Drosophila melanogaster: one gene and its partner. The protein of the gene in region 1 interacts with the protein of each later gene in a pairwise test. Each region holds a gene or a part of one and is shown on either strand. Other genes may lie near its edges.

Region 1 (10,773 bases):
TCATCCGTGGCCGGCGGAAGTCCTGTTTTGGGTCTCTGCTGATTCCTCTGGCGCTGCCTCTGTCGCTGATTGCAGTTGAGTATCATCACAGATCCATTGGACAGACCCACGGCCACATAGTTCTCATTGGAGAGCACACACAACGAGGTGGGAAACAGGAAACGACTTTCGTTCACGGCGATCCTCGCGAAGCGTTCCGTCTTCAAACTACGCGTGCAGCAGAGCACAAAGTTTCGGTTGGTGCACACATAGATGAGCTCACTGCCCGTATCGATGCTGGTGAAGCGCAGGCCCTGCAATCCCTGTCCCTGGAGTGCCGTGGTCAGCGTTTGCGTGTCATTCAGCTCACGCAGCACATCATCGCTGTAGATGTTGCCCTGGAACAGGGACTTGGTCTTCTCGTACGCACTCTGATGGCTCTTCAGGAGGCGTCGCTCCAGATAGCTCCTCAGATCACAGCTGCCACTCTGCAGTAGCTTCACACGCGCCCACGGCGAACTGAACTCGTTGCTGTTGGTGGACGAGGCGCCCTCCACCAGGGTCCACATGGTCAGCAGGCCGGAGTCATTCAGCGAGGCGTACTGTCAAAGGATTGCATATATAATTAATTATATGTATTCATATAGATCTTTACATAGAATTTATAAATGAATACTACAATAAAACCTACCTGAACTTCCTTGTACGTCGTCTGCAAACCACTAGTCGCAGCTACTCCTCCAGCATTCAAGTGTGATCTAAAGCTGCGCACATCCACCACAGCGCCCAGATCCATGGCATTTACCTCCTTGTCCTGTTGCTCCGGCATGGGAACCACCGATTGTGTGGCTGCAAAATGGGTTAGGTGGCCATCCAACTTGGAGCAGTAGCTGTGCGTCTCGCGCAAATCCCACATAGCCACACTACCATCTCTCAGTCCGGCCACCACGATATCCTGGGCCTGCGCAGATAGTGCCACACGGCTGACTTCCGCCCAGGTGGAGAGCAGGCGCAACGGCTGGCTGGGATTGGCCAGTGACCACACCATCAGAAGGCTGGCAAAGTCCTCCTTATATACATTGCTGTCCGCAGGACACTCGTGCACGGTGACCACCAGTTGTCCATTTCCGGCACTTCCAAAGATTCGACGCACAGGCAGTGCGTTCAGCAGTCCCGTCTGAAGTGGTACATTTCGAGGACTATTCCCCTGGCCGTGGGCCGTGGTTTTGCCCTCCAAAACCAGTCCCATAAGTCTGCCGGCCCTGTGAAGAAACGAATTCAGTCGCTCCAGATCCGTGCTCTTGGCCAATCTCTTTTGCTGCAGTTGCTGGGAGCGTGCCTGCTCCAGGCGATGCAGTTGCTCCAATCGAGAAATGCTAGCTTCGTATTCATCTGCAGGTTGCTTGCTCCATGTTTCATCCAACTCCGCATCGACACTGCAGCTGAGAACGAATTGCCCACCATAGTGGGGTGGATGTTGGGTCCAGCTGCTACGACTGTGCACCTCCAGCGTCTGGCACTCGCCGTCCATGTGTGGTGACTGCGTCTGTGTGGCCACTTGACTGGCATTCAGCTTCCCATAGCTCTGCATGAATCCCTCGTAGCTGAGGGGCTTCATCTCGAACAGGTGGTAGTTCAGTTGATCGAAACGCAATTTGGCCATTAGCTCTTCGCCGCGACGACTGATCACGGGATGGGAAACGAATCCCGAGTAGCCACCATAGTACACGTTAGCCTCTCCACTCCGGGGCTTCTCCACGCCAGTGGTGCTAATGCCCGAGTCCAGTTGCTCTGAGTTGGCCATCGAGTTGGTATCAAAGCTATCATACTGATTCTGCGTGGACAGACTGCTCAAGGGATTCCTGCGCAAATGCATGTCATAATGACCGGAGTCCAATTTCCGCTCTTGATCCTTGTCGCGTTGGATCACAGTGATGGGATTTTGGGTGGGCTCCGAATCCTCTTCCTCCCGCTCCTCCTCCACTTCCGCCTCGGAGGATGAGGGCTCCTGCGCTTCATCGGATTCCACCTCGTCGGGCGTGCTGGCATCGGTTTCGAAATCCGATTCATAGGATTCGAAGTCATCGGAGTAGTGATCGGATTCCGGTTCTGGCTTTTTGGCTTCATCGAATTTGACTTCAAAGGCCACTGGCTGTTTCACAGGCTCTGATTCCTTGGCCTCCACTTCGCTTCTTTGCTTGGCGGATTCACGCTTAAGGATAACCACTTCCTCGGGATCCAAGGTGCGTGTATAAGTTCTGGATCTTGCCGGAACAATACGAGCATCTCCCTTGGAAGGAGACTGTGGCTTGTGCTCCTTTTGAGTCTGTGCAACAGGGGAATATTCTTTTGATGAAGGCGTGGGCGATTCCTTCTCCTGCTCCGCCTGTCCTCTGCGCTTTTGCGGTGGCGAGGCGACCGTAACACTGTGATACGTGTCCAGAACTGCATTGGGCTTCGATTTGGCCACGAGCTTCGTGGTCTTGGTGGTCTTGGACTGCAGGGGTGGGTTTGTGGTCGTGGTTGTGTGTCTGGTGGTGGCACGCAATGCACCTGGGGACGGAGTGGTCCTCTTGCTCAAGGACTCCCTTTCCTTGTTTTTCCCCGTGGCTAATGGCTTTTTGCTGGCGGTCGTAGGTTGCGCTGCTGTTGTGGTTTTCCTCGCAATTTTTTCACCTTCCAAGCTATCCGGTTGTTTGGCCAGTGACCTCCGCTCCTTCGATTCCCTTGTGGTGGCCGGTCCACTTGTTGCTGGTGATTTAGTGACCTTCCTTGGCACTTCCGTTTTGACCTGCAATTCGAAAAGATTTTTGAAATCATAACGTCTTGTCGGGGTGCTCAGCACTATTTCTTAGCATTTTACAACACTGACCCAATCTTAACATATTGTTTTTTTTTTTGTGTGGCGATCGGTTCGTTTATTAGTTTTAATTGAATGCTATTCCATATGTGCTGCGCTATTAAAATGCTAATGTGTGTGCTATTGGGCAATAAGGCTTTAATTGCCATTAACTCGAAAACTAAGCTGCTAATCTAACTGTGCGACAGGTGTAAATGTTAAAAAGTTCGTTGGTTTGGTTTTTGTGAGCGAGTGAAATGCAAATTTGCTGTGCAAATAAGTGAAATCGCTGTTGGCTGCCAATCAATGGAAAGGTGTACTATATATTTGTGCTTTTGATATATATGTATATATTCTTCGTTTCAAGTGCCTTTCTTTGGGCTTACGTTTTTGCTGCTGGTTCGCCCCGCATTTTTTGACATTTTAGAAGGAATAAATGCTGTTTAAAGTGCTTAATTAAGCTGCGAATTAATAGAAGTAAATGCCGTATGCCACGTAAATTTAATCAATCGTAATGCAGCTCAGTTGTGACATTTTTTCCTGTTTCCCTGGCAACCAAATCCTTGTACATAGCAACAACAAAGAGGCCAGCAATAACACAATCAGCTGATCCGACAGTGCTGAAAAGGGCTGGCATGTTTAAATGCAACTGGTAGGTATTATTAAAAAATGTTTCATTAAATTTAGTTATTTGTTTGCAACGTTTGCAGTGTTATGCTTTAATTAGGAGCATAGAGCTCTGAGCTTATTAAATGCATTTTAAACTTCAACAACTTTTAATTAGCTAATGTTATCGATTGCCCATCCGATATTTTTCTATCGACACTAGCCGCTCTTTTTGAAATTCAAAAAGTCCGTTTGGGTGATAAAGCTCGTTTTGAAGCCATTGTTGTTCTTAACTTAAGTTTAGCGTAATATCACAATAAATAAGATTAGTGTTGAGCTCGGGTCTAGCCAAACGGCTGACCCACTACAAATAATAAGCAGACAAGCAATATCCATAAGTTATGACTGGATTTCATGGCTCCACTCTCGTCGAAATTCCTGTAGTACTGGGTATTGGCATACCGATCGTAGATGTGCTCCATCACCCGCTTGGCATTGTCGCGGTGCAGCTCCTGGAGGCCCAGTAGGCCATCGGTGTCGTCACGGAACAACACATTGTTCCTTTTATCGAAGATGCCGTATAGGGTAAATGGACGCGTCTCACTCTTGTACTTTCTACCAAACAACTGATCCATATCGCGCAAAGAGTTATATATCTCATTGCGTCGCGTCAGCGAAGAGTTGTGCGTCATCAGGTGGCCACGGGTGGTCCAATGCAGGTAGCAGTACTCGAAGTTGGAGCGCTTCTCAATGCCACCGTATGGGCACAACACCCGGAAATCCTTGTGATTTCCAGGAGTCAACCAATTTGAGGTGAGATTGCCGACGACATACTTCTTGTACACATCCGAGCTGAGGAAGGCCACATCGGCGCCCTCGGAAAGGCAACGCAGAGCACCTTCGTCGCCCTGGTAGTGAAGAGGACACTTGCGTCCGCTCTGTAGATTCCACAAACAGGAGTCGCGGTGGAAGTAGGAGTGCAGCGATTGCACCTTGCCAGTCGCATTCACAATAGTCTCCTGAACGGACAAATGCGCAGCTCCCTCGAAGGATGGCAAGCAGGCTCTGGCTCCTTTGAGATCCCTAAAGCTCTCGAACTTGGCATCCTTGTGTACGAGTGCAATAGTCACATACCGATCATGCATATCCGCTGCGAACTCGTATAGCAATGGCACTAGATTGTAATCCCGCTGAGCTTTCACGCGCATTTCCTGATCCACCAACACCACATCTGTCTCCTTGAACTTGGTATTATCCAGGCACTGTTGCTCATCCATGGTGCGGACGCACTGAATGTTCGGTTGCACACCATAAACTTGAGAAGCCTCCTGCAGCCAGGAGCACTTGATGTGCTGGATGATGGACGTGGTGCAGAATACAATGGAACGCGGTGGATTGCATTCCGGGAAGCTGTAGGCGGACTGGAATGCGGTGGCCTGGTCCAGATAGTCATCAATAGCTATCACATTATCCAGTGGCACAGTGAAAACGTGATATGTCTCCAGCAGGCTAAGCAGCGCATTCTGCCAACTATCTGGCTCATCATGATTGAGTCCAGTGACGAGACGCTGCACTTGAGCGGCATGGCTGCGACGGGCAGCCACCACGGGCCACGGCTTGGCCACCCAGACACATGGTTGACTGGCGTTCAATGGCTGCAGATGACCATCCGGGCAGAGATAGCTGAAGTCCGAGGGATTCGACTGGGCCGGAATGCCAGAGAACTAAAAGAAATAGTCAAAGAAGGTTATTCACAAATATTTGTGCGCAAAGATTGTATGCCTCAAACTCACACCAAAATGACTGCGCACATCATCCAGACGAGCCCAGGCCACATTCCCGCCACCACTGGTCAGGCAATAGAGAGCTCCGCGGCGTCCCCAATGCTTGTCGGTCTGGTCACAGCTATCCGGTTCGTAGCACATCTCGCACAGCGAGGGATATCGGTTCTTTAGGATGCGATCCTGCTTGGGATCGGGCACCCAAGGACCAGCCTTGCAACTGGGACCAAAGTACTTGGCTGTGGATGCTATCCGATCCTCCGTGACGGTCATTTCGGGATCACAAGTCTTCGAGACCATGGCAGCTTCAAAGTACTGTAAAGAAGTCGTATATACAATCAAAATTGGAGTACTTTTATAAGATATCCATTGAGGTGACCTACATTAGCCAGGACCTCCGTCCAGTGATTGCCCAGACCGTAGCCAGGATGGCACAGCCTTGCACCTCGAAGATCATGAACAGTATGGATATTGGCGTGGTTGTCCACCACCGCCACAATTTCGTACTCAAAGTGCGACTCATGGGAGCGCAACTCGCTGGCCACCAGGATCTCAACGCTGGCCCAGCGTGCGGCCACCAGATCCTCCGAGGTGAGCACTCCAAAGTGGGCGGTGCCCTTGTGGATACGCCTCACGCAATCCAATCGATCCACGCCGATGACGCACTCGATGTTGCTCTTCGCCTCCAGCAGCGGACAGAACTTGGGGGTTTTCCGATAAACGCCACGCGATTCCACCACACAAACACGCACTGCGGAAGGAGGAGGAGAAGCAAGTAAATCTTTGCATAAAGTTTGGACATCTGCTTAGTATACGATCGGCGAAAAACCAGTCGCTAGCCGCCGCATTAATAATGATTTTGTTTATTTTGAAGTATCTTTCGCATGCAGTTTTTCGGAAAAGATATTATCTTTGAGCTGGGTATTTCACTTGTCTGTTTTAAATTAAAAATTCCCCTCAGGTAACGCAGTTGTCGGGGAAAACCTGATTAAGTGCGCTGCATTCGCAGAATTCGCTTAATGGTGCAAAACTGGGTACAAGTCAGTTCTGCCCGGACGCTTTTTGGGCAGTGGATCACGAGCTCCAAGGTCGGGACAGGTTTTGGAACGGCTGTCTCTAGCGGATTTTGATTACACCCGGTGGAGTGGCAAGGTCGTCTGCTCTCTCGCAGTGCATTTCGATTAAAAGATACATGATGATTGGTGGTTTTTGAAACGGTTTTTATGTGTAGGAATTGTAATAAAAAGTTTAGTTTTACTCTCGACCACTTTTTAGATTGACTAACATTGTTGCTTGAGAAGTTATCATATATATTTGAAATGTAAACAGCTGCTGTCGGCCTTTACAGCATCATATTTCATAGTTTAATGGCTTAAATGATTGGTAAACAAACATAACTTCAGCAGAATTTAGTTGCATGTTCAAAATTAACATATTAAGTGCAACTTTAGACTTGCTTATGATTAAGATACATCTTAATTACAATCACAAGCTCATGTATCACTTATCGCCAACAGTTCGTCTACTAATTTACGCAGTTTGCATGCTTTTTATTAATATATTTCCAGACACAAGGCAATACGCCCCTCATCTTTGATTGACTTACATTTTCCATCATCGGGCGGCTGCACAGCCACGCACATCGATATTGATAAGAACGAGGCAAACAGCCCCACCAAAATAAGTGTAAGCCACTGCATTCTGAGCTTCGATTGCGTCAACTGCTTGTTAATTGTCAATTCACTCACTGAAGATCGTCTAACAGTCGAGATTAGGTTAGTTAATCAATGACTAGTTGGCTTCAAGCCCGAACCGCTCGCATTGGAAGATCGACGGCAACTGAAGGCAGCCCTCTCCCAGATGCCAGCGAGTAAAACCTGATCCGAGCAATCCGTAAGCTCCGGCTGCAGAACGAGATCGCCAGTAAATAAATAATAAATGGAATACAAAGCAGCTACGCACAGCTGATGATGAGTCAGGCGGGGTTTTTTGGATAGCTCTCTGATTGATTAGTATCTTTTTGCGTGAGAATCTAAGCGGGGATCACCTATATAAAAAAAAAAACATTAATCCTATCTATACATTAAGCAGCTGTCCAGTCCAGCGCTTTATCAATTATGTTTGTATATACCAAACATATGATTAACGAACGCCTTATCGGCCAACTTGACTTATCAGTTTCCATGCGAACTGCATGCCTTTCGGCATTATTTGCTTGCCTCAGTCTCTGACCGCAGCTCTTGGCGTCCATATACTCAACTTGATCTCTGGGAAATCGTCACTTGTGGGTGGATTTTAATCGCGTGAACCTAATTGCTCGACAGATAATCAATATACTTAATTAACACTATATGCACTATACACGTTTCGTGCAATTTCATTGTATTCAAAGCATTTGCTCATCACAACTTAACGTAGTCAAGTGAAGCATTTCTATGGCTTCCCGGTTATAACTTGAGTTAGCATCATTCACGCACCTTGGGTTTTTTTTTTCTTCTCGTAACTCCCCTGTTATTTCTAGGGATTTCTAAATTGTGTTTGATTAATGATCAATCTACGAAAGTTATTTCGGCTTTGGCAAAAGAGCAATTTTTTTCTGTGTCAAGTTAACAAGTGATTTGGTACCGCAAACCGGTTTTTATCTACAAAGTATAAAAAAAATATCGCAAGTTATATGAAAATTACTAATTGAGTTGGTTGGTACAAGTGGGGGGGGGGGGGGAATCTTGGACATGCCTCAAGGGCATATTTATTATGGCAGGCCCTAAAATCTTTATCGCACATACGGTCTTAATTTTCCAACAAAATCTAACGACTTTGGTGCGAAAAGATAAGATTCGTTGTTCCGGAGTGTTATGCTCCCTCCCTTTGGCTATCTCAATAGAACTTTTATGCAGACGATTACAGACTGCTATATAGTCTGGACTAGCATCTTATCGCGATGTGATTAGATATAGTTTAGCATTCTCTGATTTACATCCATATCGCTGTGACTATTTAAACACTCTATCCACCAGACGACAGATTCCCTAAGAACGTCGAACGGCGAAGTCGAAGACGTGCGAAAAATTATGATCTTATCTGGGTAGGAACCACATCTCACCCGGCATAACCAGAGGATTGCATGGATATATCCGAACTGTGATACACTAGCCATAATTTTACAGACTGCACAATGGTGCGATTAAACAGGCGCCTGCTGCCCATCAAGGCACATTTCTTCTTTTTCATGGCGGGTGAGTGTAAAGTTATAACTTAACAATCCAAAATTAAAGCCGATTTCGCACTTCGTGAGATTCTTTCGTATCAAAATGTTCTTATCGCTGACATTATCGAATATATGATGTGAGAATCTGCTGCAATTATAGAAAGATTTCTTGGAAATTATTGTAGTTTATAAACTCATGTGCACATTGTCAACTTTTAGCCATGGGACCCATATTGCCACAATTGTCGGTGATCGGCAAGCAGATCGGTGTTCCACCGGATGTTATGGGCTATATTACGGCCGCCTTGCCCCTACTTTATGTTTTAGCCAAACCCTTGGTGGGTTTCCTAGCCGATTATTTCACGGTGAGCTTGATATGCCTAGTAACTATTAATATAAATACTAAACTATAATCTTTGTTGCAGAGCCTGCGCAAGTTCATCTTCATCTCCCTTATCCTCATCATGACACTGGCCTTCGCCGGCTTCTATTTCCTGCCCGACAACTCACATTTCATTCCATTGGACGAGGGAAGTGCCCAATGGAATGTAACGTTATTGACGAATCCAAACGATTGCAATACCATTATCCAATCCTCCAACGCATTTTGTCAAACCACTCATCAGGCAAAATGCATTCAGGAAGAAAAGGAAGTAGGCGAATTCTCCGCTCTAATTGTTGCCAACGAGTCGGGCCTCAATCTCAACCAGAATCTGCTTCATGGCAACGAGAGTTATCACATCTGTCTCACGCAACCAGCAGCCATCGATTGGAACAGTGCATCCTGCGAGGTGCGACACGTAAATAGCTGCATCTATGGTGCTGGCAAGTTCTGGCTGTTCGTATGCCTGCTCTGCATTGGAATCGTTGGCTTCAACGTGACAAACTCCATATCCGATGCCTGTTGCTTTGACCTTCTGGGCGATGAGGAGCAGGAAAAGTACGGAGCACAACGAGTGTGGGGCACCATTGGTTTTGGAGCCACTGCCATGCTAGCCGGAATCGTAGTGAACTGGTGGACCACGGATGCGGTCAAAAGTCTGACGCCTGCCTTGATCATCATGTGCGTGTTCAGTTTGCTCGATCTGTTCAGTGTGTCCAAGCTGAAGCTGCCGAAACTGGGTGGTTCCGAGTCCATCTGGAGCGATGTTTGGCAATTGGTGCGCAAGCCACCCATTCTGGTCTTTCTGTTCTTCGCCACAATGGCTGGCATCATTGACTCCTTCATCATATACTTTATGTTCTGGCACTTGGAGCAGGTGGCCGAGGCCACTGGTTACATGCATCAGATCAAGTTGATCGAAGGTCTAGTGGTGGCCGCCGAGTGTCTGGCCGGCGAGGTGCCCTTTTTCTTCTACAGCGGAAAGATTATCAAAAAACTGGGCTATGTTCATTGCATGAGCATGTGCTTTTTCTTCTACGCTGTGCGACTGTCGCTGATCGCCTGGATTCCCAATCCCTGGTATCTGGTGGGCGTGGAGCTCTTTTTCCAGGGCATTACCTATGCTCTGTGCTATACGTGCATTGTGGCCTACGCCTCGGCGGTGGCTCCTCCGGGAACATCGGCCACCGTTCAAGGATTGATGGCCGGCATGGACGATGGACTTGGCTTCTCCATCGGATCCCTAATCGGCGGACTTATGTTCAAAAGCCTGGGCGGACGAGAGAGCTTCAAATACTTTGCCATAGCCGCCATTTGCACATGCGTAGCACACATCGTTATACGTCCCACATCCAGGAAGAGGCAATTCCTGCCGAGACAGGGATATGTGCCGCCAACGGAACAGGAGATCAAGCAGCCGCCCGCTCAGGAAATGGAGGAGATTCGTTTGGGATAAACATAGTATCAACACATGCCATTTTTATTGCATATTTTTGTACTAATTTTTTACGTTAAACAAAAACAAAGAAAGAACGACAAGTTGTCCAAAAGTTGAATGACTTTGCTCTCTCGGGGTTTTTGTTCGATTGTTGGCGCACACGCGATCTCAAGTGCTCCGGCCCCTCCAGCTGTCAACATGGTTATATAATACCTGAGCATCGCACAAAAGAACCCATTGAAAGTGAATCTGGGGCCAGGCAGATGCCTCGCTTAAATGGCGAGCGATTCCCACTCCATATATTAACGAAACTGGCCCGATCGGCCTGTTTCAATGATCGAGAATTGAAAGTCTGACACTCATCTGCATGTTTGGGATTTAAGTTAAGTTAGAGAATTGTAGTTTTAGTTCTACACCCTAAAATAACCATATATCTACTGATTTCTCAGAGCAATAGCCTTTCCGAAATAGCTCCAACAAAATAAAAGAATTGGAGATGGTTATGACTTCCAATCTTTGTCGCCTAGTGTTGATAATTTA
Region 2 (8,065 bases), on another chromosome or scaffold:
TTTTGTTGTTCTTCTCCACTCTAATTTGTTTTATTAACAAAGATATTTTATCGCCAATGTCGCGGCACCCATAAAGGTGCTTGATTGCGACGGCGAAGGAGGCGGTTGCTCGGCTCGTACAACGCAAAATGCACTTGCTGCGGGATCGGCTGGGGGTTGCGGGTGGGCGGAAGGGGTTTCTGGAGGGGTTTGGCCCGGCAAACGGCCGTAAAACTCTCAAAAACGTTAAACGAACCGACAAACAGCGAATGCCGCACGACAATGATACGTCTACCATCCATACATATCCATCCATCCACACTCAAATCCGTCTGGCGTCGACGCTCCACCAAGCCACAGATATAGGTTGTTAGATCGGGACTGGAACTTGGACATATCTGTAATGGTCTGATTGCCCCTTGAGTTTTATTTCGGAGTCTGCTTTATGGGCTATGGCGCTTGCTTTGCTTTCTTTATGGATTTATTAACATAATTGAGGGAATATGTATAAATACCATTGAATTCGTAGCAGGTTGTTAATGTCAATGGCGGGGACAGATTCTAATTTACGATGGCCAGATAGAGATGCATTAGAGTGTTTTACAGATTGAAATAAATCTTTCATTGCCGGAAGGGCAATTCGAAATGGATTCTCTGCTTTCGATTCAACTAATCGTCGGGGAACGTTTGTATATTATAATATTATGTATTATGTTTGTAATTGATCAACACTTTCTATTTGATGAAAAAATATTACAATCTTCTATCAAATCTTGCGTTTGTACGACCAAAATTCATGATTCATCTCGAATTTGCCGCCCAGGGGGAGTTACCATATGTTTACATAGATCACTTAGGGATTAGCCTTTTTGTGCGCCCCTAATGACTTCCAGGTAACGGCGTGTTACATGACTTGCCCGTGCCTGGGATGAGACGAGGAGCCCAGCCTTATAGAGCCCACGGGTCGTACCCTTCCAGGCCCAGCCCACGCAGTAAATTCCACCGAATTGTTGACGGTTTGCGAAAAAGAGGAAAAAACAAATCTGGGCTGTGGCTGCCTAATTGTTGTGTGAATTTTATGGGCCGATCGATGGGCAGGTCAACGCATCAGCACCACCTTACAGGCCTTGTTTGGTGTCCTCGTTCCCGTGCGACCTCTACGATCGCATCCTGGTTTCTGTATTCTGGTCTTTGGGTCGCAATGGCGATGGTTATGGCGAAAGCGATCGCGTTCGCGTAATCATAAAATCACCTTTTGTGCGCGGGCCTTCGATTGTTTTACAACATGTTTTGTCTTACGGACATTAAGGGGTTTTTTGTTTGCAAACGAACCCGAACCAGTTTTTGGTAGTTCAGCGTTAATAAGTGAGTATTGAGTACCTCCCTCGCGAGGCCAACTGCCCGGTGTGCTTCTGTTCCCGTGTTCCGCCGAGTCCTTTTCGGGGATATGTCGGTTATCCTCCATTGTGTCAGCTGCATTCACTTCTAATTATTTGACGCGACATTTGCAGTTTGCAGTTTTACGATCCCATACCGAGCATCGAACATCGCGGCAATCAATGAATTTATTTTTTACAGATTTAGAGAGGATTTCTGGAATCTCGGGATTACTCAATCGGCGCGAGCTTAGCGTTCTTTTTAGGGATTACAATTGGGAGTAGCTGTGTGGTATCGAAATTCTTGCGAAAAATTAATAAGAATGGTGTTAGCTGACCTGGAATTTGTGAGGCAGGAATATGTTTAACCAACTATACCTTATTCCAATGAATATATTATATTCCTTTGTGTAAGGAAAAATTATAGTCAGATAGTTTGAAAATAATTGGACAATGATTTCACATTCTAATCTTAGGGTATATTACATGTATAGTTTTATAATTAATGCCACAATATGAATATTTGGAATTTGTTATATTGCCAATATATTATAATAATTAGGCGCGTTTGCAATCTTATGATCACACGCGTGTCTGTCATAAATTATAAATAAATCAATTTATTTATTATTATTCAAATTGCGTTCAATTATTAGTTTTTATGTTAGTGAGGAGGTTTTGTAAATGGGTTTATTGATATTATTAATTCTTTACCGTATTGGGCCAATTTTGCCTTTTGCTTCACGAAATGGGTAACACTTTTGCTAAAGTCGTTATGAAATAATAATCGATATTTCAATTCCACCCATTTGTTAAACTTCCAGCGAAGTTTGATCGAAAATAAGTTCTCATGGGAATTTAAATTGATTAGTCATATTTTTGGTAATGAAGCTGGAAACTTTCGATTTACATTAAATGATAGATCCGTCAAAAGATCACCTCATTTTTAGTACCATCTTTTTTTTTTACATAAGCCCCTTGTATCACATCTTGCACCTTATCAATGCCAGACTTCTTCCGCTATATTTGAGTTCCCTGCGAATTTTTATCGCTGCTTACATGTCAATTATGGCATTAGCTTTACAACTAGAACCGAACAATAGTGCTTTGACAATATCGAGGCGCCCATATAAACAGCGATTGCTTGGCAAACACCAAAAGTCTGGACATCAAGTGTGTGCAGATCAAACACGGTATATGGATATGGAGAATAAAATCCGGAGGATAAAACATTGATTATTCCCCAGATAGAGGTACATATATCGCGACTATTACGACCGTGGCAACATAATTTTACAGCCACTAATTGCATAATACACACGCATCTCCGCAATTACTTAATTAGCCAACGGCAATTGCAATTAAAGTACATACAAATCGAAAGCGGGCCATAAAGGAAAAGGGGTTTTCTTGGCCAAGATATTACGACAAACTGCATACCTGGCTCAATGGGGCGTGGCCACCTGCCTGCCAGCCATCGCAGACCGGTGCGAAAGAGACGGAGCACCAGACAGACGGAGATAGCGGTAGTCAAGCACTCAGGCCATCTTGAATTTCGACCGAGCAACGGAAATGAGGGTTAAAAACGCCCAAGTAAAGGCACTGCTCGTGCGCTAGAAAGAGACAACTAGTGAGTGCCGACTGCGGTGGTTGTTTTTTTTGAGCCTCTCTGCCTGTTTATCTGATTTTCCACTGCTTTGAGTTTTTTATCAGTCGAGTCTTGCTCTACGTTTCAGTACGTGTTCGACCTGCATACTGAGTTGACGTCGCCACGCACGGAATAACATTTCAAATTAGTAGATTAGCCCTGCAAAACAAAAATCCATCTCGTGAGTGAGTGCTGAAAAATAGCGTTTCGAAATATTATCGATATCTCGGTCGTATGTTACTGTGCTCCCAAAAAACACATCACCAGCCAGTGATAACTGTAAAGATTGACAAAGCAAAATATATCCATTATAACCCAAACTGAAACTCCAGAAAATGTGCAACTAAAACATATTGGCCATCAAAGTGATAAGACTTAGAGATTAACGCCGGATTATTGGACACCGGACCGAGCACTGGGACTATCTTCGGAGAAAGCGCACCTAATCTAACCTCAAAATGGTTTCGCACTACTACAACACACTGCCCTACACACAAAAGCACAGTGCCGCCAATTTGGCCTATGCCTCAGCGGCGGGCCAGCCATGGAACTGGACGCCCAACTACCACCACACGCCGCCGAACCACCAGTTCCTGGGCGATGTGGACTCCTCGCATGCCGCCCACCACGCGGCCGCTGCCCACCAGATGTACTACAACTCCCATCACATGTTCCACTCGGCGGCGGCGGCCTCTGCCGGGGAGTGGCACTCACCCGCCTCGAGCACGGCGGATAACTTCGTTCAGAATGTGCCCACGTCGGCCCACCAGCTGATGCAGCAGCACCACCATCATCACGCCCATGCCTCCAGCAGTTCCGCCAGTTCCGGGAGCAGCAGTAGCGGTGGTGCACCGGGTGCGCCCCAGCTCAACGAGACCAACAGCAGCATCGGCGTCGGAGGAGCAGGCGGTGGCGGTGGTGTTGGCGGGGCCACCGATGGAGGACCAGGTTCCGCACCACCCAACCATCAGCAGCACATCGCCGAAGGTCTGCCGTCGCCACCGATTACCGTTTCGGGCTCGGAAATCTCTAGCCCGGGGGCGCCGACTTCTGCCTCGTCGCCGCATCATCACTTGGCACACCATTTGAGTGCCGTCGCCAACAACAACAACAACAACAACAACAACAACAATAGCCCATCCACCCATAACAACAACAACAATAACAATTCGGTGAGCAACAACAACAGGACATCGCCATCGAAGCCGCCATACTTCGACTGGATGAAGAAGCCCGCCTATCCAGCACAACCACAACCAGGTGAGTCCTTAGAGACCCAAGAATATATTAAATACAGATTTAGTGTTTTATGAGGGGGTATGATCGGTTACTTCATAACTTTATGAGTAAGGCTAATAACCTGCTTTTACTGCAAAGTTAAGGTCTATGCTTGCCATTGTCACTAGCTTGTATGAGTTTTTTTTTTTTAATCGAATGTGAAATAAGATCTTACTCACCGAAGGCTTTTAGTCCGAAAGACCTCGATTACCCGAATTTTTGTGTATTCAGCTACTTAGTCATTCCACTGACCTTCGATTCCGCGTACCCTGCGCTTGGGTTTCTCCCGCATCCGCCTGGCTACATTCCGAACCCGAAGATTCCATATTGCCCAGCACATAATGCACTGCATTGTCTTCCCGCCAAGCTCGTGCTGTTCGCGCTTTTCCCTGTCCATCTCTCACGGTACATATATGGGCTTTTATAAGAATCCGTTTGCCTGGCGCGCATCCAAGTCCAAATGGCCAATTAGCTCATAAAAATCAAATTCTGTTCAAGCTTCACTTTTATGATATTCAGTTGGGGTCGCGAGATCCCCGATCCGACGCCTTGATTTATGGCCACCCCGTGTTCACCGTCCACATGAGTGTTTCTGTTTGTTTGCTCCACTCTGTCTCCGTCTCGATTCCGATTCCATTGACTAATTTTGTATCGTAAATCAACTTAACAACTATAAGCATTTGAAAATGGTTTGATCAACTTACCAATAACCAGACAGCATTTGATGGAAAGTCCATCAGAGTAGAGGACTGGACTGTAAAGGCTTAGGAAAGTTAGGGAGTTCGGAACCTATTTCACAGCAATTAGCATTATGTGGAGTGTCTAATTGAAGGTTTCACTATTTTCTAAAAATAGTGAATATTCTGAATAATAAGTGAATAATACCCAATTCGACTCTCTTCTCTCAGTTCATGCAAATTTTCTGTGATTATGTGGATTTCTTGCGTTTTGTTTGCTGTGTTTTCCTACACCTCTGGAAAAACAAGCAAAGGCAATTCAGATGGCAGTGCAGCGATCTCAAACATGAGAAGGAATAAACCACTCACACATTTGTTCACGATTTATGACCCGGGCGCATGTCAAGAAGGGGAAAATGAAGACGACGATATCGACGATATCGACAATAACGCCGATATCCATTAAGCCCATAAAATCTGTTGGCATGCAATTAGCGTTTATGGCCGCTAATCCAGCTGATCAAGCCGACAAGGCGACTCAAGTTTGCCTTATTTATTATTATTCAAAACCCCCTTTAGCCTCCGCTGTCTGAATGTCACCTTTCTGACGCGCGACTGATTGTAATTCTTGCCGTATTTCATTTGCCTAAAAAGCACAAATATTTAAGTAAGAATAAATATTATATAAAAATAAAGTTAGATATTATTTACAGCCACTATGAGCGATCAGCAGCACCTTTTGCCAACACTTTGCTCAGGTATTATCTCTCTGGCATTTTCTTTGAATTGATGGTCTCGCCAAATCGAGTAATAATTAGTAATCTGCCTTTTCCAACAGAAGAGAAGAGGGGGGCTGTGACTAACACTTCGTGATTTTTGATAGAATTATAAAAGGTCCATTTTCCGTTGTCTGCGCGGCATGTGGCGGCATGTGGCGGCAGGGCACGTCGAAGGCCCACTTCAGCTTTCGGGGTGTGGCAATAAAACGGCAACCACGATTGTCGCTGGATGCAGATGCCGTGTACTTTTGTTTCAATGGCTGGTGGTTCGGGCGGGTTTTTCGATTAGATTAGCTAGCGTGGGGAATCAAATAAACGCCCGCCCTGTCAATAAGTCCTGAAAACCCCACCCAACCCATGGGGCTGCGAGTTCTATTTTCTGTTGCTTCAATAATGTGCCGAGTGATATGGAAACGTGGCCACAAAAAAAAAAAAAAAAAGAGTTCTTTGCGTGTTATCTAAAACGTCAAAAGCGTTGTTGATAAGCGATTCCGCTGCGTTTGCGACGGGCATATTGATTAAAACAATATAGGGTCGTAAACCAATAAAAATTAGTATTACTTCCAATAAAAACTAAATAGCGACATTTACGATCAAATCTATGCAATCATTATTAAACGGCAAGAAATTTAAGTGTCCATAGTTCAGAAAAGGATAGTTCCAACAATTCTGGTTTGCCAAAGTTGGCTAAAGTATCCAACCAATTGTATCAGTTATCCAATGTTGCCCAAATAAGGCTCCTCATTCTTTGATCCTTCGATTGGCCAACATCTCATTGCATTGAACGCACTTAGCAATACATTTTTGCTTATTAGCTGTCCGTAATTTATTGTCGTTATAATTTCTCCGGAGAACCAAATGTATCTAGGGGCCCAAGGAGTTCTTACTGGGATTGTCTGTAGATTTTCAGCATTGCCCGTGTTGGGACATAAAAACTAATGCCACCTGACACATTGAGATTTAATGTGTCAATATGCACAGAAAATTTATATCTAGCCACATAAATAATCGAAAAAGAGAGAGAGAGAGAGAGAGAGAAGGAATATATGGCGGGCTTGGATTTATATTGCTTTCCCGACGCATCTGAAAAGTGTTGTACTGCTCCACCGGCGCGGATGGGATACCTTTGTGGTCCGATTTTGGTCTGGGTCCCGCTCCGAGTACCAGTACCGTTCCCGGTCCCAAGATAAGCCATCGAAAATGGCCACTAGCTGCAGTGGAAATATGTTTGGTTCGGTTTCCTTATCAGCACTATCGCTGTTTGCCGATGACATTTACCCTTCCCGTTCACCCGTCCAAAGTTTCCTCCTCCGCTCCTGCACGGGTCAAAAATGAAGTCGATTTTTGGCTGCGACTGATCTACGTGGAGTGTGCGTTTGGATCGGTGATTGACATGATGGGATTAGCATTGGAACTCGCTGGCCAGGCCGTCCCATCTCCCTGTCCGTTTGTCACGGACTTGTTACCAATGTGTCGTTTGCTCTGGGCTTAGTTGTCCAAATAATAGAATAGAATCGTGTTTGGGTTTTCCTGCTCTATTTGTATTGGCCCTGATATTGGTAATAACCAGAAATTCGAGTCTTGTCCCAAAGCCCTGCGCACACAGCCGTATATATGTCCATATACGCATAGGTCTCCACTTTCGTGTACATGTTTTTGATATACCATTCGAGGCGTATCGAGTTTATATTGGAGGCGCTAGGGATTCCGGGGGCTTAAATTGGGGTTACGGACAGCTTACTCAACGGAGTGATAAATTAAAATGGTAGCTGTTCAAAATGGGTGCGAAATGTGTCGGACGATGTGTTATTTATTAATGGAAATTGGCGCATTTTATTTTGATGAATTATAAAACAATGTAGAATGTAAAGACCATGGAAACTAATTTAAACTACTGTACAATCCATTTGGAAATCTTTGCCTCAAGTTATTTTATCAATGAAAGTAAACAGCAAAGAGAGAGTCCAGAAACTGTAAATTATAGCCACGTTTCCTGTTCGCCATAAACCATAATTCCATAATGGGAATACTGCGATGTACATATGTACATAGTTCGTATCGGGAAAACGAGGCGAAAGCCTTTTGTTTGGGGGGCAACTTGGCCAAGTGACAGGGAAATCCGATTGTCAATCAACGAGGTCCGCCTGAATTATGACAACACAAAACGTTGCAATGATGATGGCTCGGACGGACGGATGACACCTGCTAGTGTCTCAGGCCAAAGGCAACCCGCGATTGTATGATTGAGTAGCTGACTGATTGAAGTTTAAGGCTTGATGATTGTGGAGTGGGAGGCGGCAGCGAATTCTGATTCAATTTCGAGTCGTT

The links.
Region 2: the proteins of CG15706 (region 1) and cad interact in a two-hybrid assay, tested with the Drosophila melanogaster proteins (one large-scale study listed by BioGRID).

Annotation. Positions count from the first base shown.
Region 1 is NT_033778.4:16,222,775-16,233,547, reverse strand, and holds CG15706 (uncharacterized protein), read left to right. Parts: upstream 1-2,867; 5' UTR 2,868-3,204; coding exon of another isoform or gene 3,205-3,240; 5' UTR 3,241-3,470; intron 3,471-3,678; exon of another isoform or gene 3,679-3,768; coding exon of another isoform or gene 3,769-5,148; intron 5,149-5,217; coding exon of another isoform or gene 5,218-5,520; intron 5,521-5,588; coding exon of another isoform or gene 5,589-5,956; intron 5,957-6,743; exon of another isoform or gene 6,744-6,811; coding exon of another isoform or gene 6,812-6,905; exon of another isoform or gene 6,906-7,047; intron 7,048-7,295; exon of another isoform or gene 7,296-7,489; intron 7,490-8,221; exon of another isoform or gene 8,222-8,222; 5' UTR 8,223-8,380; coding exon 8,381-8,441; intron 8,442-8,632; coding exon 8,633-8,778; intron 8,779-8,838; coding exon 8,839-10,251; 3' UTR 10,252-10,330; downstream 10,331-10,773. Other genes in the region: CG15701 (uncharacterized protein), read right to left, coding at 1-581, 671-2,770, 3,205-3,240; Tsf3 (transferrin 3), read right to left, coding at 3,769-5,148, 5,218-5,520, 5,589-5,956, 6,812-6,905.
Region 2 is NT_033779.5:20,767,647-20,775,711, forward strand, and holds the start of cad (caudal), read left to right. Parts: upstream 1-3,084; 5' UTR 3,085-3,461; coding exon 3,462-4,263; intron 4,264-8,065. UniProt on the Drosophila melanogaster protein: Caudal (cad) is one of a number of transcription factors controlling segmentation of the embryo.